4 separate regions of the Mus musculus genome follow, and all the other regions are reported to be linked to region 3. Evidence: microRNA targets listed by miRTarBase, many of them from high-throughput screens and not tested one by one. Region 3 holds a microRNA gene; each other region holds the end of a gene's coding sequence.
The links. The annotated mature microRNA mmu-miR-105 reads CCAAGUGCUCAGAUGCUUGUGGU and lies in region 3 at 2,658-2,680, opposite strand. An mRNA with a match to its seed (bases 2 to 7 or 8) in the 3' UTR can be bound and repressed. Matches are read on the target gene's strand: a 7mer-m8 pairs with bases 2 to 8, a 7mer-A1 pairs with bases 2 to 7 and ends in A, and an 8mer does both.

Region 1: the mRNA of Hpgds is a reported target of mmu-miR-105. Seed matches in the 3' UTR shown: 7mer-m8 at 5,347-5,353.
Region 2: the mRNA of Edn1 is a reported target of mmu-miR-105. Seed matches in the 3' UTR shown: 7mer-A1 at 2,331-2,337.
Region 4: the mRNA of Acat1 is a reported target of mmu-miR-105. Seed matches in the 3' UTR shown: 7mer-m8 at 6,577-6,583 and 7mer-m8 at 5,642-5,648.

Annotation. Positions count from the first base shown.
Region 1 is chr6:65,113,655-65,121,486 of GRCm38, forward strand. Hpgds (hematopoietic prostaglandin D synthase) reads right to left here. Exons shown (of 6, transcript NM_019455.4): 6 at 3,639-6,434. The coding sequence ends at 6,270. It overlaps Smarcad1 (SWI/SNF-related, matrix-associated actin-dependent regulator of chromatin, subfamily a, containing DEAD/H box 1), which reads left to right. Exons shown (of 24, transcript NM_001355250.1): 24 at 647-2,395. The coding sequence ends at 708. Among named protein-coding and RNA genes, the nearest start is that of Hpgds, 27 kb to the right of the region's middle.
Region 2 is chr13:42,305,019-42,312,850 of GRCm38, forward strand. It overlaps Edn1 (endothelin 1), which reads left to right. Exons shown (of 5, transcript NM_010104.4): 3 at 1-86; 4 at 237-350; 5 at 1,759-2,972. The coding sequence ends at 1,861. Among named protein-coding and RNA genes, the nearest start is that of Edn1, 7.5 kb to the left of the region's middle.
Region 3 is chrX:72,588,890-72,595,889 of GRCm38, forward strand. Mir105 (microRNA 105) reads right to left here and starts at 2,690; the gene lies at 2,611-2,690. The region is part of intron 1 of Gabra3 (gamma-aminobutyric acid (GABA) A receptor, subunit alpha 3); the gene reads right to left. Mir767 (microRNA 767) reads right to left here and starts at 1,205; the gene lies at 1,099-1,205.
Region 4 is chr9:53,575,658-53,583,489 of GRCm38, forward strand. Acat1 (acetyl-Coenzyme A acetyltransferase 1) reads right to left here. Exons shown (of 12, transcript NM_144784.3): 11 at 7,780-7,832; 12 at 4,865-7,008. The coding sequence ends at 6,888. Among named protein-coding and RNA genes, the nearest start is that of Acat1, 31 kb to the right of the region's middle.

The DNA.
Region 1 (7,832 bases), not on the chromosome of region 3:
TTTAATATTTTTTCACTTTCTTTTGAAACAAGGATCCTGCTAAGGTTCACACTTTAGATTTTATTTTGTTCTAATAGTATCTAGTAAAAACACTAAAAGATTTTATTTAGTAAAGACACTAAAAGAGTCTCCATAGTCTTTTCTCCACATTTCTCTAGTGGGATGTGGAATGCCAGTTAGTTTTAAGAGAATTGATATCTTAATGCCATGGGCTGTCTTTAGTCTGTTAAATACGCTTGAAGGGAAGGGTATCTGTAAACTCCTTAACAGTTTGTCCAGTGTTCAGTGTCTTGTACGTATGCATCTTTTACCCAGAGAGTAGAACACATGAAAGTACTCCTGTAGTTTTGATTGTCTCAGATTTTTGAGAGATTTGATTCATTGTGCTGCATTTCAGCCATTTGTAGTTTATTGCTGCACACATCAGAAATAGTTGTGACTTTACAGCTATGCTATTACCAGTAAGTGGGAAAGTAAATAACTCAGCTGTATAGGTTAGGTCAGGTTTTTAATGAGATGACACCAAAACAAACTAGGAATTAGTTATAGGTAGGAATTCACCAAAGAGAAGAAAGGTTGGGAGGAAGATACATCTTAGAAGCCCGGATATTTCTGCATAACTTTCACATTATTTTCTGCCCTGCAGCTGATGAAGGAAGTATGCCAGCAGATATAGCCACATTACTAAAAACATCAATGGGCCTGTGAAGGAGAGCGCGGAATTCCTGATTGATGAGGACATATCAACTTGGTGCATTCAAGGACATTCACATCACGGTGACCATGGGGTTTCTGAGCATTTGTAATTTTTTATAATTTCATGTTGCATTTCACATAGTATGGACAACTTTTTGCCACTAACTGGATTCTCCAGATCCTCACATCCTGAAAATGTTGACTAATCATTTTTCAAAGCAGTTTTCTGAATGGGGTTAGTTGGTGATTGTTTGTAACAAATATGCTAATGCTTTAGAAATGTCAGTATTTTTGTAATTATTTCTACCTCCAGATATATATACATATATATATATATATATAGTGTCTTTCACTGGATAATGTGTGTAGATTTACATGTGCCTTATTTGACAATGTTTATGTCTTGTTTTGCTTGTCTGATTTGAAGTTTTTATTATGTTAAAGAATGCAGCTGTATAGGTTGTTCAGTCTTCATTTTATTGCTATTTGATGCAGATGTTCACCAATGTCAGTAAGAACTCAGCCTGAATCACAAGGTGGCATTCCATCCACTAATGTCCCCAGGTCCTCTTCTTCCTCCTGTTAGAACACATTTGTTTGGCTAAGCACTAAGTTGTTTTCCAGTGAGTAGGAACTGAAGCCTTTCTCCTGCTCTGGGGGGTCAGTTCCTTCTTTCATTTTCTTATTGCACCTCTGGCTCATTAACTCTGCCTTCGCTTGTGTGTGTTGCTATCAGCTTCCTCTCCCGCTTTTGCTTCTCTTAACCATTGCCCAGTCACTTCTGCTCCAGTTTTCTCTTACACATTTCCTTCTGCTGAATCACCAAGATCAGCAGATGTTGGTGGCATATTTCTAGTCCAGCAGAACAGATTAACTTAAAGATACTTTCACTTCAAAGGAAACTGGATGTGACTTCATACCAAGGTAATGCTAGATACTGCATGAAAATAGGTCATTAACTTTAAATTCTTAACAAAATATAATTTACCAGTTCCCAGGATTTCCAATACAGAACCACCTGAAGAGAAGCCATTGTTCAATTCCAGTTCAGTGTGGGTGACAAAGTGAAATTTAGAAGTAAAATTGTCTATTTGGTATTTCAGTCTTTATTAACTTTTCATTTAAATTTTGCCTGTCAGTCTATATTGCTGTTTTTATTATACATCAGATTCTTTGTATAACTTGTGAGTTTTATGTGCTTTGTTTTATAATGTAAATATCATTATAAATAAACTTATTTATAAATGAGAGATTTGTTAATTATTGTAGCTCATACTTTTCAAGACACCCCCAGTGCTGAGGTGCTAGGTAAACACTTAGATGGGTGACACAATCCTACAGTGCTATTTTTTTTTCAGGTATCTGAGACTCTGAACTCCTGACTCAGTAGATTTAATATTGAAGATATATGACTGTATCAAATTTATCTCCCCACTACGGGGCTGCCAGGAATTTGCAGGTGTTAATGCTACCTCCTTGTGATCACAGTACCCAGGTCGCTTAGTCAAGTTGTTGGAAATTGTACCTTTTAAACCCACAGTGAATTTCCCTTAACTTTTCTGTGTGAAATGTGTCTCCCACAGTAGGCTCATTGGTTGTGGTGTTGTTATATCTGAATTTTTTCTAATGAAATGTAGTTGGATTCTCCCTGTAATATTTTATTATGTCTTGGGTTTAATAAAAATATTTGTGATCATTAAGTTGTATTTCACACCCTTTGTAATGGTTTTTAGCCCTCGTTCTCCTTCCCCAGAGAAGTATGTAATATTGAACAGAAACAGGACCATCTTATGTTTAAGATATTGCTTGGCAATGGATAGGGATTTGGTACATAAAATGAATCCTCAATTGTCCTTTCATTGGGCCAGTGTCATTAAACATCACAGTCCATTGGTAGGCTTTTATTTTCTCCTTTATAAAACAGGATTTCTTGGCATAGACCTAGCTGTCTTGGAACTCTGTTGACTAGGCTGGTCTCTGCCTTCCAAGTGCTGGGATTAAAGATGTCCACCACCCATCATGAAATAGGTTTTATTTTTTTAGTATAAGTCATATATGTGTAATAAGACACCTTATGTGTCTTGTCTTGGACAGGTGACTCGCCGATAGGAGTTCCAATAGAGTCAAGGTGTGGGTGGATCAGAAGATTGGGTTTCTATTTGTGCAGCCTGTAAAGAAGGGATCTACCTTCTTCAGTGGCTGTCTGACTTAACATTGTGGCTATGTTAAATACTGCCCTATAGAGCATGCTGATGTTACACTGATCATAGAAATATGTAATACTATTTTGAGTTTCCATTTTTCCCATAGGAATTGTGTTTATTACTTTTCCTAAATTCTGTTTCCATTAAAGATACTCTTTTAGCCAGGCAGTGAAGGTACATGCCTTTAATCCCAGCACTTGGGAGGCAGAGGCAGGCGGATTTCTGAGTTCGAGGCCAGCCTAGCAACAAAGTGAGTTCCAGGACAGCCAGGGCTATACAGGGAAACCCTGTCTTGAAAAACCAAATAAAAAACAAAACAAAACAAAAAGGATAATCTTTTATGGAAGGTAATACAGAGGGAAGTACCTGCGCATCAGGGTCATCTCCACCTTCATTAAAAGCATTGTTTGTATGTTTCCCTAAAGACTTTTTCCTATTGATTGTTTTAATCACACAATGTCTACCCATGCAACGAGATTCTTTTTTATTTTAACAGCCACCAATGTTAAAATTTTATTTAAAAGATCAAGTTCATGCATTTTATGTTTAACATACAAAATTTTGTCCTCTGTTCCCCCCCCCCCCAGCCCTGTTAAATCAGAGAAAATGTTCTAAAAAAAGAAGAGATGTTAAATAAGAGCACACCTATCTGGACATGTATTTCTTTCTCTCTCCCTACAATCTCCTTTTTTATTTTTATTTTTTGCCTTTTAGCAATATGTTCTTCTGAATCTCACATAAAGCACAAGATCATCTTTATTAGTATTTCCATACATTTTGCAACATACCACACACACTATTAACATTAATGAAGCTAACATACAAAGCAAAGTGTGCATTCCATCAATATAGTTTAAAATAGGGATCCAGGTTCGGCAGCATGGAAACGAGATTACAGTGAGTGCAGTGCCAGCTTGGGCCTGGGCCACATTGTGCATCCCAGTCAGCCTTCAGATACCAAGTGAGAAAACAGTCCAAAACAGTCCTGGGGAGTAATATTGCTAATTAGGAGACCCTTTATAAACAAAAATAAAATGGTTGCATTTAAAAAAAAAAAATAAAATGAGTATAAGTGCAAATGCCACAGTGCTTAAGGGGAGGGCAGAGGACAGACAGTAGGTGAAAGTCAGTGTTTTGCTTCCATTATGTAGGTGCCAGAGACTGATCTTAGGCCTTCTGGGTTTGGCGCCAAATGCCTTTATCCATGGAGCCAGCTCACTGGCCTGTTGTTTAGAAGATTGTGTAGAGAGGTGCTTTCCACTCTGTTTCTCAGCCACCATGAGTAAGTAAACAGTCATTTTGGCACATACTGCTCCACAGTTCCAACCCAGTGGAGCCAATGAGTGGAGCCACACAAATCTTCCCTCCCTGTAAGCTGTTGTGTATCTATTACACTTTGTCAGCAAATAAAAACTAATTATCGCAGACTGTTTGTTTTTTTCAGTTCACAGCAACACTAGGAGCAGTCCCATTTCCTGCTGTCCCCACACCTACAGTCTCCTCTGTTGCTAACATGTGCTACATACGCTACAGTTTGCATGTGTTCTGCATTCTGAGTAAGTTTATAAATGTAAAGACGTGTACTCATTCTCTCTGACAGCATCCCACAGAACAGACTGCCCGGACTGCCCATCTGCCTCCCGTCTTGCCCATGTCACCACTGGCTTGGGCAGCTTCTCATCCTCTTCTTTTGCATAGTTGGAGCCTTTTTGTGTTGGCTCCTTTCACTTAGCTGTGTGTGGCACTGGCTCACCCATGTACTGTTCGTGGCTTACTAGCCCTGATGTGTACGCACCAAGGATTGTTCTGCATTTCCTGCTAAAGGCCATCTTTGAGGTTTTTAAAGTTTTAGCAGCTGTATGTGAAGCAGCATCCAAGATATATGTTCAAGCTTAGTGTGGACATGCTCATTGAGTAAATACACAATGTGAGACTGACGGGCCCCACAGAAGGGGACATTTTAATTTTTGAGAAACTAGTTCTCTCAGTGCCATCTTTTGCATTCCTGTCCCCAGGTCCCATAACTTCAGTGTTTCTCCAGTGTTTATTTGGTCTTGAGATTTTACTGTTCTAGTCAGCACTGCTATTATAATTCCCTAGTGCCACTGTATTGCTGCCTCCTCACAGGCTCATGGCCATCTGTGTATCTTCCAGCTAACATTTCAATCTGGGTATTTATTTTTTTTTACTATTGAATTTTCACAGTTCTTTTATATTTTAAACAAATCTTTACCAGGTGAATGTTCTGCACACATGTTCTCCCAGTCTTCTTAGTCTACTGTTTTTTGTTTGTTTGTTTGTTTGTTTTTTAAGATTTCTTTATTGTTTTGGTTTTCTATTGTTTTGGTTTTCCGAGATGGTTTCTCTGTGTAGCTCTGGCTGTCCTGGAACTCAGTTTGTAGACCAGGCTGGCCTCGAACTCAGAAATCCGCCTGCCTCTGCTTCCCAAGTGCTGGGATTAAAGGCGCGCGCCACCACCGCTCGGCTAGATTTCTTTATTGTATGTATGTGAGTACACTGTCGTTCTCTTCAGATACACCAGAAGATCAGATCCCATTACAGATAGTTGTGAACCACCATGTGGTTTGCTGGGAATTGAACTCAGAACCTCTGGAAGAGCAGTCAGTGCTAATTGCTGAGCCATCTCTCCAGCCTGCTTTTGTTTTTCTCATGTGAAAGATTATTGTAACCCTCTGTCTCTTGTCTCTGGGGTATCGAACTTTCTATGTCACAGCTCCTTTCCTTGTCTCTACAGCCTTCTGAATTGCAACAATGCTGAACTCAGTAACTTTTTGTTACTCCATTTTGTGGAATTTCAATTAAACTTCAACATCACTTTTCTTGGCTGTCCTTTAATCTTGATGAGTTTCTTCTTTATTACCCATTTTGTGACATGTCAGACAGATGTGTATTTTTGTGAAGTAGCTTATACACTTTGGTGTATACCTGAATAACATGCAGTAGTTAGTGATCATTATAATGACCATTAGTTTCTGTGTAGGAATTTGCTGATTGAAGAGCTAGCTGCAAAATCTGTATTTCATAGTTAACTATGCTTACTCATAGTTAAGATACTGTGTTGACTGATACCCTAGCCAGGAAACTAGTGTTGTTTAAAGCTTCCATACATCTTGATATGCACAACTACATATATTGTGAACTATTTCCCTGCAATTATAAAGTGTAAAGTTTTGAAAAAATAAAAGATTGGAAACTAAGTGCCTGCAGATAAAGACAAAACTGCAACACCCCTTGAGTTGCTATACACAGCAAGCAGAGTACTACAAAGTTACAGTCCTATTGGTGAGAAGTATGTGGATCCTCTAGCCAGCTAATGGAGTTCTCATCTGATGATGGGTCCTGATTCATCTAGAGTTTTGTCTGTGGCCTCTTTAGTATCCAGGCAGAAATGGCAGGGATAGCTTGGACTTTGTTCCGTAATGACACCAGTTTGGGGTAGATATCCAACAAGCCAGGCTTTAAAACCAAAAGTGTGGTGCTGCAGATATCCCAGTAGAAGTCTGCCCAGGTTACCTGCTTAAAGGAAAACAAAGACTTGGCTTTTGAATATGTTAAAACAAAAAGAAAAAGAAAAAAGCATTCCAAAAGTGAACTTACTTTCTTACTCTCAGGGAACACTTCCTTTCCATTTCAAAACAATTCTTTGTTGGCACAAAGCTGAACATGTGCATGATAAAATTGGAAGCCGACAGGCATCACAGTGTCCAAGGAACATCGAAATGACTACTGTCTGCAACTAAGTGGAGATGCCTGAGACAGGCGGCTGGCAGCTGATGGTCCAGTGCTACACTTTTTTGAAGCCCTGTCCACTCTCTACCAGCCTGACCTAACAGATTTCCATCTGTTCCAAAAGCCCTCTGTAGGAAGAGGTGGGCTCCTCCCAGGTGTGTACATGTCCTGTGATGGGGAATGGCATGCTCCTTTTTGTATGTCACCATTGATGATTCCACACTAGTCCTGTAAATGTGCTGTTTGTGAGGGGATCTGTGATTATTTCATTATGTTGTGTACCTTGTACCTTTGCGTTTTAAGGTACAAAGGAATAAATAGTGCGTAGGTTATCCCTTCCAGGTTTATAGTTCCAAATAAAAGAATCTGTGTAAGATACATTATCTTTGAATCACATCAAGACAAATAACTATAAAGCGATCTGGTCCTTAATAGAATGCTAAGCTTGGCCACGGTGATGGGTACGGCCTATCCTAAGCCTGGGTCAGCTGAGCGTTCTTCATCCTTACTGAGCTCCATCAGTAGGGTGTGGTCCATAACCACAATAGCAGGGTTAACTTTGTTTTGTTATTTGTTCACTTTTTAGTTTGTATTGTTGGGAGACAGTCTGACACCGCAATGTATTTGACTGGAGCTCCCTCTGGAGACCAGGCTGCCTGGGATTGCAGCATGTTTCTCCAAGGCCAGCTCTAGAGGAGAATTTAAAAGTGGACTAAGCTTGTTTGTGTGTGCTTAATTTACTAGAACTGGTTGCTGGTGTTTCACACTTTTGCTGTCATCTAAGAAATATTGCTGCATAGAGAGTTCAACTAAGAAATATTTGTCAAATACCTACTGTGTGTCATACCCACATTTAGGTGTTAGGGATGGTAGAGAGCAATCTGGAATGCAATGCCCTCCTCTCGTGTAGATTTGTTTGTTTGTTTGCAGTGCTATGGACCAAGCCCAGAGCCTTCAAACGCCACTGAACCTCATCCCCAGTCTGGGGTTTTGTTTTAGAAGAGATTTTTCAAATACACAGTGAAATGGCCGATGAAGGCAAAGTGCAGTGGTTACCGTGGGCAGAGCGAGCATCCAGGAGGTGATGTTTGTTTAAGTCGAGGGTTCTGAGAAATACTCAGAAAATATGGACTGAAAAAGAGAGCTCATAAAAAGCAAGTGGGAAGACGTGAAGGGACTATG
Region 2 (7,832 bases), not on the chromosome of region 3:
GCCACAGACCAGGCAGTTAGATGTCAGTGCGCTCACCAAAAAGACAAGAAGTGCTGGAATTTCTGCCAAGCAGGAAAAGAACTCAGGTGAGTGGAGGCCCCTTTGACTTGTCCGGCCTGCTGGCCTTCTCCCTGTGAGACTGTTTTTCACTTAAGAGAAAGGAGCAGAGACATGAAGAGGCAAGGTGAATCTCAACATACCACCACTAAAATGGTTTTGCTCCTCTGTCTTCACAGGGCCCAAAGTACCATGCAGAAAAGCTTAAAAGACTCCAAGAAAGGAAAACCCTGTTCCAAGTTGGGAAAGAAGTGTATCTATCAGCAGCTGGTGGAAGGAAGGAAACTACGAAGGTAAGAGGCTCATAAGGACTCCTACCCCTGGACGCCAGTGCTAATGGCTCCCCAGTCCTTTCTAGTGGGAGAAAGGCTTGAGTCCAGTAATAGAGTCGTCATGGTCTGTGGACTTAAAAGAGCAAAGGGCTCCTTGGATACTGGCGCCTTGAGTGCAGACACCTGCCCACTGTGTCTTAGCACACACTGTTCAGTCTATAGGTAGAGCTTCTACACTAAGGGGCAGCTTTAACATTTGAGCATATCCAGTCTTTCCTCCTCTGGCTCTTTTCTTTTTCTGATTTCCTCGAGAAACTAAAGATCATGTCAAGGAAAAGGCATTTAAAATATTTATATATGTTACTCCAAAAGTAGTAGTTCATCAAATGACCAAAGGGAAGCAAAGCCACTGGGCAAGGTTGGTGAGATTTAGAGCACACTGCTTTTTGGGTTTATTCCGTTACTTTGGTTGAAATGAGCACATTTAGAGCCAGATGTTCCTTCACTTGCTTTCACTGGCACAGGAGAGGGCTGGATTAGGGTACCTACAAGCAGCTTTTCAATGATCCTTCGAAAGTCTAAACTTTTTGAAATTGAGAAGGTGGGGGTGGTCAAGGCGCCCTTATTCAAACCTGTCACAGGGTCACTCTCATCTCTAGAAGTGTCTCCAAGAAATCCAGGGTCAAGGTGTTTGTTCTGAGCCCAATGTGGCCGTGGGGAAGGACTTCTGAGTTGGTTACTGCTCTTGTGTGGGGACAGCCATGCTTGGCCTCCTTCACACCTGCCACCTAGGGGTCTCTTTCCACCAGGTCACAGTTGCTGAGCTGACCTGAGGATCAATACCTTTTTGCTGCTTTGTCTTCCATTTACCACTAAACTGATAATTGACATTCCAGTTCTTTATGTGCTCCTACACACACACACACACACACACACACACACACACACACACAGATTGCACCACTCTTTAAACTGTCACTAAGCACTTGCTCAGGTCTCCCTGTAGGCTCTCTAATTTTTCTCTCCATCCACCTGTTACATTCATTCCTTATGTGATTTAGAAAGTGCCAGTGTGCCAGAGGGCAGGATGCAGAGGCAGAGGGTAGGATACAGAGGCAGAGGGCAGGATGAAACTGCTTAAGCATAACATTTGATGCTTAACTCCCTGTAGACATGCTCATAGGTTTCCTCTCTGTAGCACTAAGCATAAAAACAGAATTTATTCACACAATAGTCATAGACACTGCTTGAGGATTTACCAAAGAGCACCACATTGCCACAACTGGTGTAAAAGGCTAGGAACTAAGACTTGGTGTGTTGGTGCCAATTCCTAATTTTAGACATTTCTTTAGCCAAGTTGTGATTTGTTTCCCTCTCTGTGAGTGTGCGTTTAGATAACATTTATTTTTCTCTTGTCTTGTCTTAATAGGTTGGAGGCCATCAGCAATAGCATCAAGGCATCTTTTCGTGTTGCAAAGTTGAAAGCTGAGCTCTATAGAGACCAGAAGTTGACGCACAACCGAGCACATTGACTACAGAGCTCCCCCAGTGTTTTGGAAGTCATCCCTTATATAGTGCGAGCCCCATGGCCAGCTCTGCACTCTCCATGCTGGCTGGGATCTTAGCAAGACCATCTGTGTGGCTTCTACAGTTTCTTGTTCAGACGGGCAGAGGACCAGCATCCTTGATCCAAACATTCCAAGAAAGGCTGAGGTGTTCCCTAGCCTGTCTGCGTCCGCTGGGAGCGAGTGCCTTTCTGCCTCTTCTTGCCGGTTGGGAATGACAGAGGACTTCTCAGAGAGCAGAGACACGATGCCATTCTAGAGTGGCATCACTCAGAGAGCCAGGAGATTCCACAGCAGGGCGGGGTTTCTGTAGAAAGTCCTTAGGGAGTGTTCGTGTCTGACTCAGGCGCCTGGCACATTTCAGGGAGAAACTCCAAAGTCCATGCAAAAATTTTTCTGAGGAATGCACAAATTGAAAACATACTCGAAGGACAAACACTTGAGTTTAAAAAAAAAAAAAAGACAATTTTTAAGTTGTAAAATGCAAAACTCAAAGCAACTGTTACTACTGTACATTGGGATGTATTTCATGAATATGAGTCTACCTCACCTTTCTGCACTGTCATACACATTCTCACCTTTAATTATTGCCTCCCTGTATTCTCTCCTCTCCGCTATCCGGGTTCCCAGTCCCCTATACTGAATCCTTGCCTCACAGAAATTGAGTCAGAAGTAGCTGAAACATTGCCATGCTAATCTGCTAGCTCTAATCTATGAGAAAAAAGGATGACAGAATCTGGCCCCTGCCCTTGACCTTGGGAAACACAATGGTTTAGAGTTGTTTGTGTACATGTTGAAAACCTGGTCTGTGCTTTTTAGCAGTAAAAATATGTTCCCGTATGTATTGTAACTGGCTAATGGAAGAGGTTAGATTGAATCTTGATGTACTTATTTTTTTATAGATATTTATATTCAAACAATTTATTCCTTATATTTACCATGTTAAATATATGTCTGGGCAGGCCATATTGGTCTATGTATTTTTTAAAAATATATATTTCTGAATGAAATTGAGAACATGCTTTGTTTTGCCTGTCAAGGTAATGATTTTAGAAAATAAATATTTTTCCCTACTGTACTGACTTGTGAATTATTTCTGAAAACCCCCAAGAGGTGATAATCCTGAAGGGAAGTGGTGAAAAAATGGCTCTCTAGGAAGGTCAAACTTAGAAAAAAAAGGAGGGTGTTGGCTTGATTTAAACAGGAAACTCGGCACATTTCTTTAAAAGATGCTTTTGTGGCTGGTTGACCTTGAAGGTTATATGATATGAAGGAAATAGAGAATTAGAAAGGAGATACATGATACTTAATAAAATATGCATTTGTACATTTAAAAAGATCCTGCTTTTGGATTGTGTTAAGAAAACACAAAAGCTTTAAGTCTTGTCCCCCCATGCAGTGCAACCTCTCTGCTTCTTGATACCTGAAGATATCCCCAGGGAGGCAGGTCATTATCCTTGCTTCTCTGGCAGGCCATTAGGCAGCTTCCAACAGTTTAAGCTGATGGCATGGTGAGAGGTGCTTTCTCCATAGTACTGGGCTGGAGGAAGTGATGGAAAGATGATCCCCCAACACCGCAGCTATTCACTGCGCCTCACCCAGCGGCTGCTAAGCTAGCCAGGCCTGCTTGCTCCACGGAGGTTGCTGGTGCCTTTTATTTGCTCAGAGTATTTTGTTTATTAAGGAACACTGAGAACTCTTTCTTCTTCCAAGCTCAGGACTGGCTGAGTGCCCCAGAAGGAGAGTCACCGGGAGCTGATTTAAGACATTTACACCTTGCGCGCGCGCGCGCGCGCACACACACACACAGACACACACACACACACACACAAACTTTCCCTTCTCTGACTGACCCAAACAGTATTGCAAATGGTCCTATCAGCAAAGACTCATGGGAACTTGCTGGGCTTCTGGAATCTTCACTGCCTTTCTCTAGGAGAGGCTGAAGGGATGGCCAGCACTGAACAAATATTAGCTCTGTAGGATTACTGTTATCCTAACTGAGGCATGGTATGTCAAATTACAGTCTTCCGACCCGCATGGCCAACATCCTAGGCCGCTCACTGCAACTCTTTTTCATCCCCTGTTAAATTATTAACATTTTAAAGCACTGTCTGAGTGAGGTATATGGGAAAAGTGTCTGTATGGGTATTTTACTTCACCTAATGAATTGCTTGCCACTGTGTGACTGGCAGTGGCTGCAGGGTGGGGGTGGGGGTGAGGGTGAGGGTGTCCTAAAGCCCTGGCTCCTTCCACATGGTACTTGGTACTTGGCCTGCACTTGGCTACCATTTCCTATTGAGCAAACTTCAACCTTCTGCCTCAGGATCTCCCTCATTGAGAGAGAGACAGAGAGAGAGAGAGAGAGAGAGAGAGAGAGAGAGAGAGAGGATGGGGGTGGAAGGATTTTCTTTCTTCTTTTTTTAAGTTTTAAGAACAAGTCCAATGGTGAAGATGCTGAGGTGGTACCAAGAAAACGAAGGTCCAAGCTCAGAGAACACCAGTGCAATGTATTTAAGAGGGAGCTGGGATGGGAGAAGCCACTGAATGAAACTGTTCAGAGAGTGCTACAACTGCAGTGAAGCAGTTTTGTTTGTTTTTTGAGACAGGATTTCTCTGTGTAGCCCTGGCTGTCCTGGAACTCTCTGTAGACCAGGCTGGCCTCGAACTCAGAAATCCTCCTGCCTCTGCCTCTCGAGTGCTGGGATCAAAGCATTAATTAAACCACCACTGCCAGGCAGCAGCTGTCGTTTTTTAATAGGTTGAACTCTCATCTTCTTTGGCTCCACAATTGATTGCTGCTTCAGTAACTGGCAAAAAAACAGAAAGGCAGGAAGCAGTCTTTCTCTTCCATCCCTCCTCTGGGATTCAGATCAGCAGTTAAAGAAGCTTGGGGGGGGGGGGCACGGCGGAGTGTGGGGGGGGGGGGTCGCAGGCAGCTCATTCTTTTCAGTCAGACTTCCTTCTGGGTTTCCAAAAAACTCTGCTTTCTGGCAGTGCGCTTGCGTGCTTGCGACAGATTTTTCTCTTTACTCTTAAGGGTCCGGCAGGGCTTCAGTCTCAGGAGAGTAGAGCCTAAGAGGGATGCGGTGACGTTTGGCAGGGATGGGGGAGAGAGGAGCCCACTAATGAGTGCTTCCTTTTCCCCTGGGGATTAGCTTCTTGGCTGATGAAAACCGTGGGTTTGAATTCCACCTGTGCTTCTCCAGAGCACAGCAGCGAGAGGAATTATATTCAGCTGGAGTTCTCTTGGAAAGAGACTTTCTAAGATCAAATTGGAACTTTGCTGGTTGTTTCTTTTCTGGAAAGAAAAGAAAACAGAGACCCAGAGACGGGGTGGGGGTGGGGGTGTGGGTGGGGGGAGGGGGGAGTGAACTGAAGTCATGCAGTCCTTCGGAAAAGCTGGCAAGCCTGGGCATCATCACAGAGCCCGCTGGTTCACCTCCAGATTTCTGGGGTTCATCTGGAAGAGGCACTCAAGCAAACCTATAAAAAGGGGGTTCTGGGAGGCTGGTGGGGTGGGTGAGTAAAGCAGTCTCCAGGAAAGCTTCACCTCCCAGCTTCTCTGATAAAGTTAGCTGATCCAGTCAGAGCTGGAGTTCTCTGGTAAAGCATTTGTCTAGCTTCCACCAGTCCTGGGCTGGATTCCTGGCACTACAGATAAATAAAATGGCAGCCTGTGGGGTGGGGTGAGAGGCCCTTGAAGAGGTGGATAAGTCTTATTGCATCATTAAATGAGTAGCTAGAAAAACATTCAATCACGTTTAGATTTATTTACCAAGTGAAACTCCAATGAGTCAAAGGGAATTCTTTTAGTTGGAGTGGCATTCTCTCTATAATGCAAGATGGCATTTATCTTCCCAAAGTCTTGAAAAGGCTGGTTTTTAAGCCCAAAATCTTAATATGTTACAATAACTTGTTCTCAATGGAATTCATTCATTCCCTCACCATGGCAGGGCCAGAGCATCTAGTCTGACATTCAGCAGGGGTGCTTTGTTAGTGACTCTCCGTGGCCTTCTAGATTTCAGTCAGTCAAGTCTTTGTAGAGAACTTGGCTTCTCTCTTCCTTTCCACCTGTGAGTCACCTTCCCACCAGAACCCTGTCAGGAAGCTGCGGCCAATACACAAAGTCCTTTGACATCCAAGGAGACAGATGCACCAAACGTGTGGCTTCTCCAGAGACCTTAGACAAACAGCAGTAGTGAAACTAAAGATCCATGGGATTTTTCTTTGTTTGTTTGTTTTGTTGTTGTTGTTTCTGTAAACTTTTTTCATATCAGAAGAGGTTTCTTTCTTCCTAAAGCGGGCAGAGAGGAAGGCTGTGTCTGTTTGCGAGTAGGCTGTGAGGGGAACTGTTCTTTTATTTTTCTCCTTGGGGAAAAAAAAATCAATGTTCCATACACAGCCCGAGGTTTCACTGTGAATGCTTCCAGTGGATGGAGCTTTATCAGCTACCTAACTTCATGACTTCAAAGCACAGTGGGCAGAACACTTGCTAAGATGGGTGATACCCATCTCCAACCCTGGTGTCACTGAGGACTTTATCAACCTCTGCTGTCTCTGAAGCCAACACAGGGAAGAAGCTACAGTGAAAAATAGCAGGGTTGGGGTCACCATGTCACTTCAAATGCTGGGCAATGATGAGACGGAGAGATAGGATACCACTAGATAAAACAGAGAGAAGGGATGTATTCTAGCCATGGCAAGATGCCGATATCCTAGGATACAGCCCTTCAGGAATCTGAAAGCAGAATGTCCTGTTTCTATATTATTCTTCTTTTTCATATTCTGAGGAAACCCATGCCCCTTCTGCCCAATTTGCTGTGAAAATATTCAGGGATGTTATTCACAGTACTAAGCTACCACTGTCATTGGATTAGGACAAATTGAAGAGCAAACCCTAAGTGAACTCCAACTAGTCTAGGTATGAAGTCTACAGATGTTGGATTGGGATGGGGGCATGTGATGGAGAAAAGGGGTTGGTCGCCATGTGAAATTTCTAGAATTCGTATGCCTATGGCTATTGATCAAGCAGGATGTAATAATTTCTACATTTCACAAGTCATAGTCATCTACATGTCATGTCCCTGTGTGTGTGTGTATGTATGCATGTATGTATGTATGTATGTATGTATGCCATTGTCTTTTCCAGCATCCCTGAGTGGCATACCAGTGTCTCAGAGATCTCGGGAATTAGAGGCCCATCGGCTTCATAGCTGTCCCTCTCGCTGTGCATGATCCCTTGTTTAGATGCTGGAATCCTTTGGAAGACGTAGAAATATTGTGAGGTCTCCTTTTTGTCCTTGGAAACTTTTAGCAGACTGATTTTACATTTGCGCAAACCCAAGGCAGAGTGTAGGCAGAGGTTTGTTAAAGCCTGGTTCTGCTTCAGGAAGATCCTCAGGGAAGGTATCACTTAAAAAGGCAAGTCTTCCCTAATTAGGTCAACTTAGGCCATGAAAGAGTGGGGAGGTGATTTATTATTTAAATAGGATGCATTTGATGAATGCTTGGCAATGCTCTAAATTTTCTGAACCCATGGCTATGGTGGTCAACCACGGGCACATGATTACTGTAGATCAGGATAATGCCTGAAGCAAGTCAGAGTTTCAGAATCACTTTGGTCTCATGGAAGTGTTCTAGACTTTGGATTATGCCTAGAACCTTTATCCAGAAATCAGGCTAACGCATGGACCTTCCTTAGTGTCTCTAGCTTCTAACAAGCCAACTAAAAGATACCTACTCAATGAATTTATAAACACATACATAGGTTTTGTGTTTTGATAAAGTGATGGAGGGAGTTGACATTCTTCCAATAGATGTAGTTAGACGACAGAAGATTTAGAAGAATTTGATATGAAAATTTTGTATACTTCCTTTTCGGAAAGTTTGTGTGGCCCAAATTTCCTTATTAAAGTTTAAGTGGTAGACTAGGGAC
Region 3 (7,000 bases):
CTTCCTCCAGCATTGGTCTACTTGTCTGTTGCTATACTAGTACCATGCAGGTTTTATCGCAATTGCTCTGTAGTACACCTTAAGGTCAGGCATGGTGATACCACCAGAGGTTCTTTTATCCTTGTGTATCCTTGTGACTATTGTATCCTTTTATCCCAGTACCCCGGAGCTCTTGACTCTAGCTGCATATGTATCAAAAGATGGCCTAGTCGGCCATCAGTGGAAAGAGAGGCCCATTGGACTTGCAAACTTTATACGCCCCAGTACAGGGAAACACCAGGGCCAGAAGTGGGAGTGAGTGGGTAGGGGAGTGGGGGGAGGGTATGGGGACATTTGGGATAGCATTGGAAATATAAATGAGGAAAATACCTAATAAAAATATTTTAACAAAAAAGAAAAGAAAATAGCCATGAGTAGCTAATTCACAGATGTGTATGTTATGTTACAAAGCTAAAAAAATAAACACCTCAATACATGAACATTTATTCAGGATCATGTAGTCAAGACACCCTGAGAAATCCAACAGAAATCCAGAGGTTATGAAAGCCATGAGAATTGTTTGTACATTTGATAGGATCTCACAAAATAAATCTTATAAATGAGCTATGATACAGGAACAAAAAGCTTTACTCTATGAATTGATATCACATATGTAAAGGGAGACCTGGCAGAATATGCCCAGATGGTCATATGACTATGATATACAAATAGACATCATTTGTTCTGGAGCATCTGATCATGCTGCTTAGTTATATAGTTTTGTGATATGTATAAGTTAAAAATTATGCTATAACAAGTAGACATGGAATCATTTTGAAATTAGTAAATCATGGTTCCCTTCAGACTAGGAGAAGATCATACTGATAAAACACATGAGAAACTATTGTTACATGCTTAAGCAGTCATAGTGCATGGGATTTATTTGAGCACTGGACTATGATGCACAGGAAGTCTAGTGGCAAGTTAACATCCATAGAATTGGAACAGATAGAGATGGTACAGGAAAAACACCAGTATGTTAAGGGAGCAGAGGTCCATGTACTAGGAAAAAGCAACCAAAAATATAAACTGATACATAAAACACTGTTTTCCTATAGAGCAGTAGACAGTTAAGATTCCTCTTCAGGAACCATAGGGTATGAGCAGACAAGCATGTTATGTGCTCAGACAACCATGGTGCATGAGTAAAAACCTATATGGATTCTATAATACAAAAGTAGATGTGATACAGGAACAAATAACACGGGAATATGCCAAGATAAACAAGAGATGAGAATAAAGGTAGCATTCATAAGGCCACCAAGACATGGCAATGATGCTAAAGGCAATAACACAACATATATTCATACAATTCTCTGATGATGAAGCATTGCACCAACGTGTATTTCCAGACATTACAAGCAAATAGTTTGACTATAGCTTAAGAGTAGATGGTCAAGTATATTAGGGAAAAATGATTATAGAAGAGCAGAAAATAATCATGTTATGATTAATAGAATACTCCAGATAGCATTGATTCAAAGAGAGTCAGCACTCCATTGCATAAGCTTATGCCACAGTCTTTAAAACTGAAGTGTGGACACTATGCCCCTCCTTAGAATAGGGAACAAAACACCCTGGGAAGGAGTTACAGAGACAAAGTTTGGAGCTGAGATGAAAGGATGGTCCATGTAGAGACTGCCATATCCAGGGATCCACCCCATAATCAGCATCCAAACGCTGACACCATTGCATACACTAGCAAGATTTTGCTGAAAGGACCCAGATGTAGCTGTCTCTTGTGAGACTATGCCGGGGCCTAGAAAACACAGAAGTGGATGCTCACAGTCAGCTAATGGATGGATCACAGGACTCCCAATGGAGGAGCTAGAGAAAGTACCCAAGGAGCTAAAGGGATCTGCAACCCTATAGGCGGAACAACATAATGAACTAACCAGTATCCCGGAGCTCTTGACTCTAACTGCATATGTATCAAAAGATGGCCTAGTCGGCCATCACTGGAAAGAGAGGCCCATTGGACACGCAAACTTTATATGCCCCAGTACAGGGTAACGCCAGGGCCAAAAAGGGGGAGTGGGTGGGTAGGGGAGTGGGGGTGGGTGGGTATGGGGGACTTTTGGTATAGCATTGGAAATGTAAATGAGCTAAATACCTAATAAAAAATGGAAGAAAAAAAAAACACTATTGCAAGTATCATTGTTTTACCATAAAGACATGTACATTAGCTGCAGAACTGAGACTGGCACCCATGACAAGAAATCAAGGAATATCATATCAGCACCACCATTACTGTTGTCACATATACTTCACAACATTCTACTCAGTGTTGGAAATGCAATCATGTATTAATATGTACAGATTTATGAGACATCTTTGGCATTTTGTGGAAATAAAAGAACAGAAATGCAATTTGAGGTATTCAAGACCCCACAGTTAACAATCAATACTTTCAAATTCAAACACAAATATTTTGGCTTCACCGCCCACCGTTTTAAGTACAATAATAAATGACAATATGCTGTGAGTCACCTGACAGACAGCCATGGAACATGGTTTAAAAACAGAGTAATGAATGGCTTTGTTCCAGAAGCAGATGGCAATGTTGTAAAAGTAGGTACCATAGCACATGCTCAAGCATTCGTGGTGCATAAGCAGCCACCACAAGCATCTGAGCACTTGGCTAAAATGCACACACAGAGCATCTTGCAACAGGTGTTAATGCCATGTTACAGGCGAAGACATCAATGACAAAGGAGAGAGAAACTCATATTAGTAGGAAAGCACACAGTGTACAGATTAACATGAAAGGAGCAAAATATTCCATTTCTGAAAAAAACAGACTGTCATTATGTATACAAATCGTATAACAACTTCAAACACGTGACTGAAAATTTTTAGTTATGTAACCATTTTGGATAATGACTCAGTTCACATATGAAAAATGAAATGCATGTGATGCCAAAAATAATAAAATAATAAACTCCATTCAACTTTATTAAAAGAATGAATGCATGCCATTGGTCTAAGAGAATAACTGAATAGTATAGGATGCTTAGATGACTAAAATGTAAGAAAAAGTCTTGGAATATATGTTTCTAATATATAGCCGTACACCTACAGAACACAGGCTACTAATTGTAATACCAGTACATGTCGACAAATTACAGAAATAAACCGTGATGTGATTATTACTCAGACATGGTATGCTAATAAGAAAAGTATATAAGCAATGGATACCTCTGCTTCAAGAGGATGACAATGAAACCAAATCAAGTTACATGAAATCAGGCCATGGCATATGTGGATTTGTGCTTGTTTCTGGTAAAAAAAAAATCAAAGGTATCCCATTATATGAAGAAACAACTATTAGTATTGATAATAGAAACTGTATATGAGCAGTCAGCATAAACTGAGGGATCCTTCCCTGTACAAGATCTACTGGCCACAATATTACAACTAATATTCATACTAATGCAAATCATTCTATATTCCGAAGGAAATCATGAATTTTTTTGTCTTTTATACTTAGGATGGGTTAGTAGTTTCCATCATGTATCTTCAGATAACAATAGTGGTTGATAGTGTACACATATAATAAGCAATCAGATAAACTACAGTAGTGGGTCGAGACAGAAAGATAAGCTCAATTCAACATCCACAAACAAAATAAAGTTTTCAGTCAAGAGAAGAGGTAAACGGTACAAAATGAAACCTTGTGCTAAATGTTCAGATGAACATCTTAACCTTGAGTTCTTAATTATGATTCATACCTTTAAAACACAATTAGTTATAACTCTATTTCCAGGGAATCTGATGCCCTTTTCTAGACCTCCATTTGGATTGCAAATATGTAGTAAAAGACTTATACCCAAGAATATGTATGTGTGTGTGTGTGTGTGTGTATGTATATATATATTTGCATTCTGGAACTATATATTTATAGTTACAAAGTAAAAAATGACTATATGTGTGTGAGTGTATGTGTGTATACAAATCAAACTTAACTTAATGAAATTTAAAAAAAATTAAAAGCCACAATACAAAAGCGTATGTCTTCAAGTACAGAGGCTGTTATGAATTGAATTATGTCCTCTCCAAAGAGATTTTGAAGTTATCATTCTCAATACCTGTGGTTGTGATCTCATATGCAACTGAGTCTTCTGGTAGTAAACTCAACATGAAGTTATGCTATAAACATTTGAGTATGTCTTACACCTGAAACTCATATTGAAATCTGAAAGTTACTGTGAAATGTTAGAATACATGGCCTTTTAAGAAGCTGAAAGGAGTGTTCCTCTTTCTCCACATCCTCGCCAGCATCTGCTGTCACCTGAATTTTTGATCTTAGCCATTCTGACTGGTGTGAGGTGGAATCTCACCGTTTCCCTGATGATTAAGGATTCTGAACATTTTTTCAGGTGCTTCTCAGCCATTCGGTATCCCTCAGGTGAGAATTCTTTGTTTAGCACTGAGCCCCATTTTTTAATGGGGTCATTTGATTTTCTGGAGTCTACCTTCTTGAGTTCTTTATATATATTGGATATTAGTCCCCTATCTGATTTATAGGTAAAGATCCTTTCCCAATCTGTTGGTGGCCTTTTTGTCTTATTGACGGTGTCTTTTGCCTTACAGAAGCTTTGCAGTTTTATGAGGTCCCATTTGTCAATTCTCGATCTTACAGCACAAGCCATTGCTGTTCTATTCAGGAATTTTTTCCCCTGTTCCCATATCTTCGAGGCTTTTCCCCACTTTCTCCTCTATAAGTTTCAGTGTCTCTGGTTTTATGTGGAGTTCCTTGATCCACTTAGATTTGACCTTAGTACAAGGAGATAGGAATGGATCAAGTCACATTCTTCTACATGATAACCACCAGTTGTGCCAGCACCATTTCTTGAAAATGCTGTGTTTTTTCCACTGGATGGTTTTAGCTCCATTGTTGGTGGGATTGCAGGCTTATACAACCACTCTGGAAGTCAGTCTGGCGATTCCTCAGAAAATTGGACATAGTATTACCGGAGGATCCTGCAATACCTCTCCTGGGCATATATCCAGAAGATGTTCCAACCGGTAAGAAGGACACATGCTCCACTATGTTCATAGCAGCCTTATTTATAATAGCCAGAAGCTGGAAAGAACCCAGATGCCCCACAACAGAGGAATGGATACAGAAAATGTGGTACATTTACACAATGGAGTACTACTCAGCTATTAAAAAGAATGAATTTATGAAGTTCCTAGGCAAATGGTTGGACCTAGAGGGCATCATCCTGAGTGAGGTAACACAATCACAAAAGAACTCAAATGATATGTACTCACTGATAAGTGGATATTAGCCCAGAAACTTAGAATACCCAAGATATAAGATACAATTTGCTAAACACATGAAACTCAAGAAGAACGAAGACCAAAGTGTAGACACTTTGCCTCTTCTTAGAATTGGAAACAATCACCCATGGAAGGAGTTACAGAGACAAAGTTTGGAGCAGAGACAAAAGGATGGACCATCTAGAGACTGCCATATCCAGGGATCCATCCCATAATCAGCTTCCAAATGCTGACACCATTGCACACACTAGCAAGATTTTGCTGAAAGTAACCTGATATAGCTGTCTCTTGTGAGGCTATGCCAGGGCCTAGCAAACACAGAAGTGGATGCTCATGGTCAGCTATTGGATCGATCACAGAGCTCCCAATGGAGGAGCTAGAGAAAGTACCCAAGGAGCTAAAGGGATCTGCAACTCTATAGGTGGAACAACAATATGAACTAACCAGTACCCCAGAGCTCTTGACTCTAGCTGCATATGTATCAGAAGATGGCCTAGTCGGCCATCAGTGGAAAGAGAGGCCCATTGGTCATGCATACTTTATATGCCTCAGTACAGGGGAACACCAGGGACAAAAAGTGGGGGTGGGTGGGTAAGGGAGTGGGAGGGAGGGTATGAGGGACTTTTGGGATAGCATTGGAAATGTAAATGAGGAAAATACCTAATTAAAAATATTAAAGAAGAAAAAAAAAGAAGCTAAATGGGATTAGTTTATTTTTTTTTATTCTTTAGATTGTGGATCAATCTCACGGAAGTGGTATAGGTGTTGCAGGTCTGGGTCATAAACTGAATGTGCTCCTAGAGCTTTCTCTCTTTTACATGTTTCTATATCCCTACTGTTTTACCATCATGTTGGATGTAGCCTAAGGCTATCTTCAGCTATGACTATCTTCTCTTGGATTTCCATGCTCTAGAGCTATGAGGTAAATAAGCTTCCTTTATTTATAAATAACTCAATCACATCTATTCTATTTTATCAACAGAAAATGCAGTAATATGTTTGCATGGTCCACAAATCCAGTGACTACTGTCTGTATAAAAAACAGAGTGAAATTTGAACAACAACAAAAAAGATAACAGCATGTCTCAACAGAGCTAGTGATGATGCCACAAGCCAAGAAATTCTTGAAGCTAACAAAAGCTATTAAATTTTTCCACAGAACCTGCAAAAATAGCATAGCCCTGCCAATATTTTCATTTTGCAGTTATAGCCTCTAGAAATATGAGCAAATAAGGGTGCAATTATATTTTGTGTTCATAGCCCTTGGAGACAATAGTGAATGGTATTGTTCCAAAAGACAAACTTCAGCACCTGTGAGGTGATCAGTAACTTGACATCCATATTGTACTATAGTAACAATTATGTATTAGAATGAGAACTTATCAATAAGCATTAAACTATAGTTATGCACCAGAAAGCAATGCATTCAAGAGATACAGTAATACAAAGCATTTGGGGTTGCTGCCAGCATAACACAGCATGCTGATTTATAGTAATGTCATGTGCATAAGCTCTTAATTTTTTTAGTAATCAGTAATACACAAGAACATATTATAAAATTAACAAAGCCAAACTACAGTTCTCTAAAGGTCAACCTGGTTCTGAAGAGAGATAGTCAGCAATGCTCTTGTCACACAGCTATAAAAATGGGGGTTGGGACTCTGAGCACTCAGGT
Region 4 (7,832 bases), not on the chromosome of region 3:
CATTGCCATGAGCAAATGGTAAAAATCATGAGGTAAGTATCAATAAAGTTCTTTTGGGTTTGATTTGGTTTGGAGGTTCTGAGAATGAATCTCTGAGTAGCTCTGGCTGTCCTGTCGCTCACTGTAGGCCAGGCTGGCTTGAACTGCAGGGGTGTGCTGCCATGTCTGGCACTCCAGAGAACTTTGTATGTATCACTATCCTCGGGATTTCTTGCCAAGCTGATTTTAGAGAACCCTGCATTCCAGATGTTATTTCTTAATGTAAATTTCTGCTGACTGTGTGAAACACTTTGGCTCGGGTTTGACATGTTATGAATTGCAGTGTTTTACTGACATACAAAGTTTTCTGCTCTTGGGGAAACCGTGGAAACCATGTTTCAGTTATGGAGGAAAAAACATATCTTTCATTCCCCAATCAGTAGGTATCAAACTGATACCCAATGTAAAGTTTTTACAGTCGTATGCTTATATACATAAACAGAAAATGCATGAAGTCATACATTTCAAGGGATTTCCTCAAACTACAGATCATCCCGGTCAAGACTCCCAACACTCTAAAGTCCTGTATCCCTCCTAATGGCTCCCAGCCCAAAGGGTCACCACTACCCTGCCTTCTAGACGCATGGGCTCAGCTTCTTGTATTAGTTCTAAGTTTCCTAGTTAGTATAGGATATTCATTGTGAGGGTTGCTTGTGTTTTAGTCAGTCTTCCTCAATCTGTGTATAGGTCTGATTTTAAACAGTGGATCTAGTTTTACAAATATTTTATGTTCGAATGATGTCCAGTATGGGGCCATGGCTGTGCTTGTTTATGTTTGGGGAACTGCTACACTTGTTCAGTTAAGTATACTGTTTTTTAAAGACAAAAATCCCAGCTGTCCAATCTTACTAACGAAGACTCAGGAGCCAGGTCCTGAGCTGAAAACCTAATAGTTCAGAGAGGCAGAGAAAGCACCCAGCTGACCTTCCTACTCCCACCAGTGTCCTGGAAGGCTAAAGCCCTTTTACCTCAGAGGCTATTCCCACCCCTTTCTGTTGACTTGTGTCCACTCTGTCCGCTGGTTGCTTCTTCCACCTCTTCACCTATGGCTGACTTTATTTAGCTCCTGGATTAAATTTAGGCGAGTGCTAGAGCTGAGCCACACCACAAGCTTTTTTTTTTTTTTTTTCCCAGAAAATAACACAATCTTGGGGTTCAGCCTGTGACCAAATATCCTGCAACAGTATATGTACTTTTACACACCCAGTGGTATTGCTGGATCACAGTGTCGTTTATTCCCAAACATGTTTAATTTATCCTGAGTGAATGTGGCTGTCTGTAACCGCTCAGCAGTTGTCACCAGTGCTCACGGTTTTCATGTTAATCATTTTGAAGAGTATGTTAGTATACTCCTTGCTATTGTGAACTATCCATATCTTTTGCCTATCTTTTTAATGAATTGTCTGCCTTTGTAATTTTCAGTTTTCTTTCTATATTCTAGATACAGGTTTATAGTTGAATAGATTGATCTCAGATGTCAATATTTTCTGTATTTTTCTTCAAGTGTTTTTGTTTAATGTCCTATTTTAAGAAATCATCCATCTGGAATTGATGTCCCACTTATTAAAAGACTATACTGCAGGAGCTTAGAGACCTCCAAAAACATGAGTCTCAGCAACTCGGGCAGGCTTCAGGCCCTACTTCTGCCTCCACTGGCCTGCCTTGGTTCCTGTACAAGTCCATATCACAGATTTCCACACCTGCCTCTGCTAGTCAGTCTTGGCCTTTTACAGCCAGTGGACACCTGGGTCTTGTAGTTCTATCTGCTTCTGTGGGCAACACCAGTTCCACTTTGCTAACACATGCGCCCTATACTATACCTAATGTCAAACAGCTGGCTGCACTGAGCAATGAAAGAGCCTGGAACAGTCCAGGTATCCAGGGAGAGAATGCAGTGAGGTTGATTCCAGGATGGATATAGAAGGCCAAACACATGTGCATTTAGAGGAAGGCCTGAGATGCCAGGTGGGGACCTCATTATTGGAAAGGGGAATGACTCTTTTCAGAAAAGTTAGGGATGCCTTGATATATCTATATCTGTGAACTAAATCATATAGTATTTTTTAATGTCAGAAACTGGAACCAGTTTAAGAGGGTTTTGGGGATACGGGTGTTTTGTTTTCTTTTTGAGAAAGTACCTTTAAATGGCCAGTTAGGTCTTTGGTAATGATGCCGATTAATCCTTGGTGAATTTAGAAGTGTGCTCAAGTCTGGGTCTACAGTGGAACAAGAATGTATTGTGCAAGCCTATAATTCCATCAGTTGGGCTATGAAGGCAGGAAGAACTGTAGGTGAAGGTCTCTTCAAGTACATGGTAAGTTCGAGGTCAGTATGGGCTACATTAAATTCTATCTCAAAAACAATATTACCTAGTAATATTTAGAAGTTTTATATATATGTATATATATATATATATATATACTTAAGAGGATCCCATTTTCACTTCAATACTTCATATCCTATAGCAGTGGTTCTCAACTTGTGGATCATGACCCTTTTGGGAGCTACATATATCAGATGTCAACATTATAATTCATCGCATTATAACAAAATTACAGTTATAAAATATCAACAAAATAATTTTATGGTTGGAGGTCACTACAACATCAGGAACTGTACCAACGGGTCACAACATTAGGAAGGTTGAGAACCACTGGCCAAGGGGGATTTAAGTTTAATGCAAGTCTATCTAGTATCCCCAAAGACAGTAGAGTGAGACAGCTGTAGTCCTGAGTAGTCCCAGGTGAGGCTGCTGTTGTATGTCACGGTTAAGTAATGAACTTTGCTTGCATACTTTCTTTTTTAAAAAAACAACACATTGAATTATTTCCTTCTAGGTCATCAGGTTTTGTAGTAAGCACACTTATGTGCAGAGCTGTCTCACTGGCCTTGCTTACACAATTTAAAAGGTACTGCAATGTTCCCAGGTTATTGTTGCTGTAGATAATCCTATGAACCCCTAGGACCACTGGCCTTTGGGAGTAGGGCTCTGTTTCCTTCCATTTGAAGGAGTTAGTGATAATACTATAAAGTGTGAGTCACTGGGTAACAACTAGCTGTACATTCTGGAACATTTTACCTGGGTTGGATAAGAAACTTATATTCACTTACATGGAGCCTGAGTATGCATTGCATACCCAATGAGAATTTAGTATCTCTTGCACGCTCTCCTAGTTCTGACTGGCAGAACTTTTTGAAGCAAGGAGCAGGGAAGGTTCTTGACTGATATATAGCAATAAAACAAGAGGTTAGCCTGGTCCTTGTTGAAATGGGAAATGCTACCTACGGGCTCTTTGATGCCACTTTTCCTCTGTCTTGTCTGTCTCTGGCATGTACCTTTTAGGAACCTTGAAGGTAAGTCCAAGACTTGCACTGCTGGCCTGAAAAGGCAGGAGTATCTCTGCCTGATCTCTAGCTACCCTTCAAATAGGACAGAGCAAGAAATGGTAAGAGCAGTAGTGGAGCCAAACCCATATTTGAGGAGAGGTGTCTCTTAATAATTATTGCCATGTTGGCCATTGGTCTTGCATGAACTGACTGGGGAGTGTCAAGAATGAGCCCTGTTGTTTGAAGCTTGTTGTATCCACAAGTTTGCTAGACAAGGCTGGTCCCAACCAAGCATTGCAGTGTGACTTAGCAAGAATAGAACTGAGGTAAGGCTGTGTCGTGTGTCTTAAGTCTCTACCTTTTTCATTTTTACTCTTAATCATGTGTATCTGAGTATGGTTTTGTGCACATGTTCAAACAAGGCCATTAGATCCCATGGAGCTAGAATTACAGACAGCTGGGAGCCACCTAGTATGGGTACTGGAAACTGAACTTGGCTCCTTTGGAAGAACAGTGCACACTCCTTGATTTTTCTAGCACCATTCTCATATTTTGAGATATGTTCTTTTAACTAGCCAAAAGCCCACTAATAAACAGCAAACTCTGGGATCCACCTGCCTAGCCATTTTGCCTCTCTTGCGCCCCCCCCCCCCCCATGCTAGGGTTAGACACATATGCCAATCTCAGCTTTTATGTGAATGTGAGAAATCTGAGATCATGTCCTCATACTTGTGTGACAGGCACTTTACTGAGGAATTTGCTGAGCCCCCAAATTTAGTTCTAATTTACATTTCTCTGATGGCTAAGGATAATGAACATTTTCATATTTACAAACCATTTCCACTTCTTAATAACTGTTTGCTCATCTGCACAAATTGGGTTATTTGGTGTGGGTTTCCCCTAGGTTATTATTTTTTATTCTTTATCATGAATATTAACAGTTTGTCAGATGAATAGTGAGTATTTCATTCTGTAGACTGTCTTTCCATTCTATTAGCTTTACTGTGCTGAGCTTTCAATTTTGTGTAATCCCATTTCTCAGTTCTTGCTCAGCTTTCCTGGGCTGCTGGAATCCTGGTCAGTATTTGTTCTATTCCTGTATTGTTCCTGTTTTCCTGTAGAGTTTCAAGGCTTCAAGTCATAAATCAACATCTTACCTTCTTTGATCCATTTTAAAACTGTTTTTTTGTACAAGGTGAAAGTAAAAGTAATTTGAGGGATTTCTTATGTCCCTGTTGCTCCCAAATAACTTCAGGGCATTGCTGTGCCACCTCTAGCCCATTTTAGCTCCCAAATAAATGAAACAGAGACATGGTATTTTTATTAACAAGCTGCATACACTATGCTGAGCAGGTTCTGAGCTGTTCTAACTCTAAGGCTGCCTGTTTCCCAACCATGTGGTCCTTTACCTTCAGCCTGAGTCTTGTCTTTGCTCTTTCTTTCCTCATGACTTTGTGAACCTTCCTGGTTCATCCACATCTGTAACTTTAATGTTTTTCAACACCCATTTTTAATGATGGTTCTTGAACGCTTTAACATCCCTTTTGGCCCACCTCCCACTAGAGGTAGTGGGAAATACCAGTGAAGACTCCAGACCCACAAGTGTTGCACAGCTAGGTATATAAGCAAGCCCAACCAAACCTCCGTCACTGTCTGCTGGGCCTAACATCACAGGCCTCTAAACATCCCAAGTCCTCTGCGGGCCTGGGTCTTGTCTCAGCATGAGCATCTGTCTCGCTGACATCACTTTGCCAATCAGCCCGAGTCCATTGAAGAGGTACGAAACTGCAGCACACCACAAGTTTTTTGGATCGTTTCTCGGTTCGTTTCTCTCTATGGAGTCTCTACTCCACCTCCTTCCCTGCTTGTTTCTGTAGTGCAGGGATAGAAAGAAAGAACCCAGGGCTTTAGGTCTGCTGGGCCAACACTACCGACTGAGCTACCTCCCCAGTCCTCTTCTGTCTTCTTGGTGATTGTTCCCTTCATTGATGTTTAGTGACATTCTTTGTCTTCTCTGACAAGCTGCTTCAAACCTAGCTTTTATAACTGACGGACAAAGCTACACCTACTTGATTTTGTGCTACTTGAGAGCACGTGGCTTCCCATTCTGCCACTTTTAGTCTATGAGTCTTTGCCAATGAGGTCTCTTGTAAGACAATACTTTGTTGATCTTTTCAAGAGAGAATTTTTTTCTCTGTGTAGTCCTGGCTGTCTTGGAACTCATTATGTACACCAAGCTGGCTATGTAGACTCGGATCCTCCTGCCTCTTCCTCCCAAGTGCTGGGATTTAAAGGCATGCACACCCAGTGGATCATGTTTTTGAGATAGTATTTTTAAATTTTATGTTGAGCCCATTAAAAGTTTGGGCTGAGGATATTTTCTCATTACAGTAATTCTGTTGATTCTCTGGCTGGCTTGAATACTATTTTTTCTTCCTTCCTCATTCTATAGCTCTTCTGGTTTACTGAGTTGGGCATGGTCTGTCTCTCTCCTGGCTCTCAGTTCCTCTCCTGGAATGTATTCTTTGTTGTGCTCTTAGGTCTGTGACTGCTGCTTCCTGCTCTGTTTTGTTTGCAGGACTCCTTTAAAGAGCTTCTATGTTGGCTTGGTGGACATAGATTGCTATAACTTGTGCTCACTTGGAAGACTTAACCATATTTTTTAAAATTTTCATTCACATAACTTTATTTGAAACCAATTTTGACTGTCCAAGGATTAAAGTTCGAAAACAAAACAAAACATAAACAGCCAGTGTTCATTCTAATGGCAGAATAGAAGTCCATGGATGTTAGATTATTTTGGGGCTTGGGAGAGTCAAGGAACTTTGTTGCTGCTATTGTGATATTCTCATTTCTTTGGTGTATTTAGATGTAAAAATGCTGGAACTTTACCCTGCCTTCATCAGGAGAGAACCCGGTTACAGGTTATCCCCAAGGCTGGCTTCTGCTGTACCGGCAGCAGTGAGGTAGAAAAGCACAGGACCTCATTTCTCTGGTTTCTGCGTGCAGTGCAGTGTCCAAGTCCTCCCTGCTGTGTCACCCAGTGTGGGTCCTGGGAACCAAATGTTTTCTGTGTGAGCAACAGATGCTCTTTTGTTCGTTTGTTTGTTTCCAGAGTTTCTACTTCTATGTGTATTCTTGGCTGTCATAGAAGTAGCTCTGTGGACCAGGCTAGCCTTAAACTCAGAAAGATCCACTTGCCTCTATCTCCAAGTGCTGGGATTAAAGCCATGTACCACCCAACTAGCAACAAATTCTCTTAACTGCTGAGCCATGCCTCAAATACCTATATTGGTATTTCAAATAATAGAGTATCCAACTGTTTAAGTTTACAAAAAAATAAAATAAAATAAAGAAGAAATTTTTATTTGTAATTTAAGTGTGTTTTTTGGATATGATTTTTTAAAAATTTTAGTAGAAAATAATAAAAAATGAAATAGCTTATGCTGAATATAACCTGGCCCAAGGGAGTCACATTTACTTCAGCCGGTCACATGGAACTGTCTCCTAAAACAGGTTGTCTACAGCTTCTCAATCAGCAGGGCGGAAGCACCTCCTCCTCCGTTGCAAATACTAGCCAGACCGAACTCTCCTGGCTTCAGGGCATGAGCCATATGAACAACAATCCGGGCTCCAGACATCCTAGGATTAAGAAAGCATTTGGTTCTTTAATCAAGAACAGAATTTAGGACTAACCAGAGAAGTTTCTATTCCAAACTAACTGCCTGAAAATCCAGTACTTGTGGGTAAGTACTTTTAAGTTTAGACAATGAATTTCAAGAAGTGAGTGATAACTCTTATAAAAACCTGAACTTTTTTACTCAACGCTGTTAGTGTCCCGGACAGTTTTATGTCAACTTAATACAATCTATAATCATCTGAGAGGAGGGAGCCTCAATTGGGAAAATGTCTCCCTAAGATCACGCTGTATAAAAGCCTATAGGATACTTTCTTAGTTACTGATGTGGCGGGCCTGGCCCCTTATGGTTGGTGCCATCTCTAATCTGGTGGTCCTGGGTTCTATACAAATCAGGCTGCAAGCAGTAAGCAGCACCCCTCCTCTATGGCTTCTTCATCAGTTCCTGCCTCCAAGTTCCTGCCCTGTTGGAGGTCCCTGACCTCACTCCCTTCAGCAATAGACCACCATGTGAAAATATAGCCCAAATAAACCCTTTTCCTCTCTCATTTGCTTTTGTTCATGGTGTTTCATCATAGCAATAGAAAGCCTAAGGCAGTCGTGTTTCAAGCCACAGAAGTGCTAACTGTGTTCACTACTGGATATTATCTCAGAAATATATCTTAGAGATGGACAGAAAGGAAAACTGCTAATCAAAACAGGAGCAGTGGTGAAGCAGCTTACAGAAACACAGAGGCAGCTACTGGCCTGGCTCGCATTGCTTGTTAGGTACTCACCCAATTGGATGGCCCAGAGAAACAGCTCCTCCGTGGATATTTACTTTTTGGGG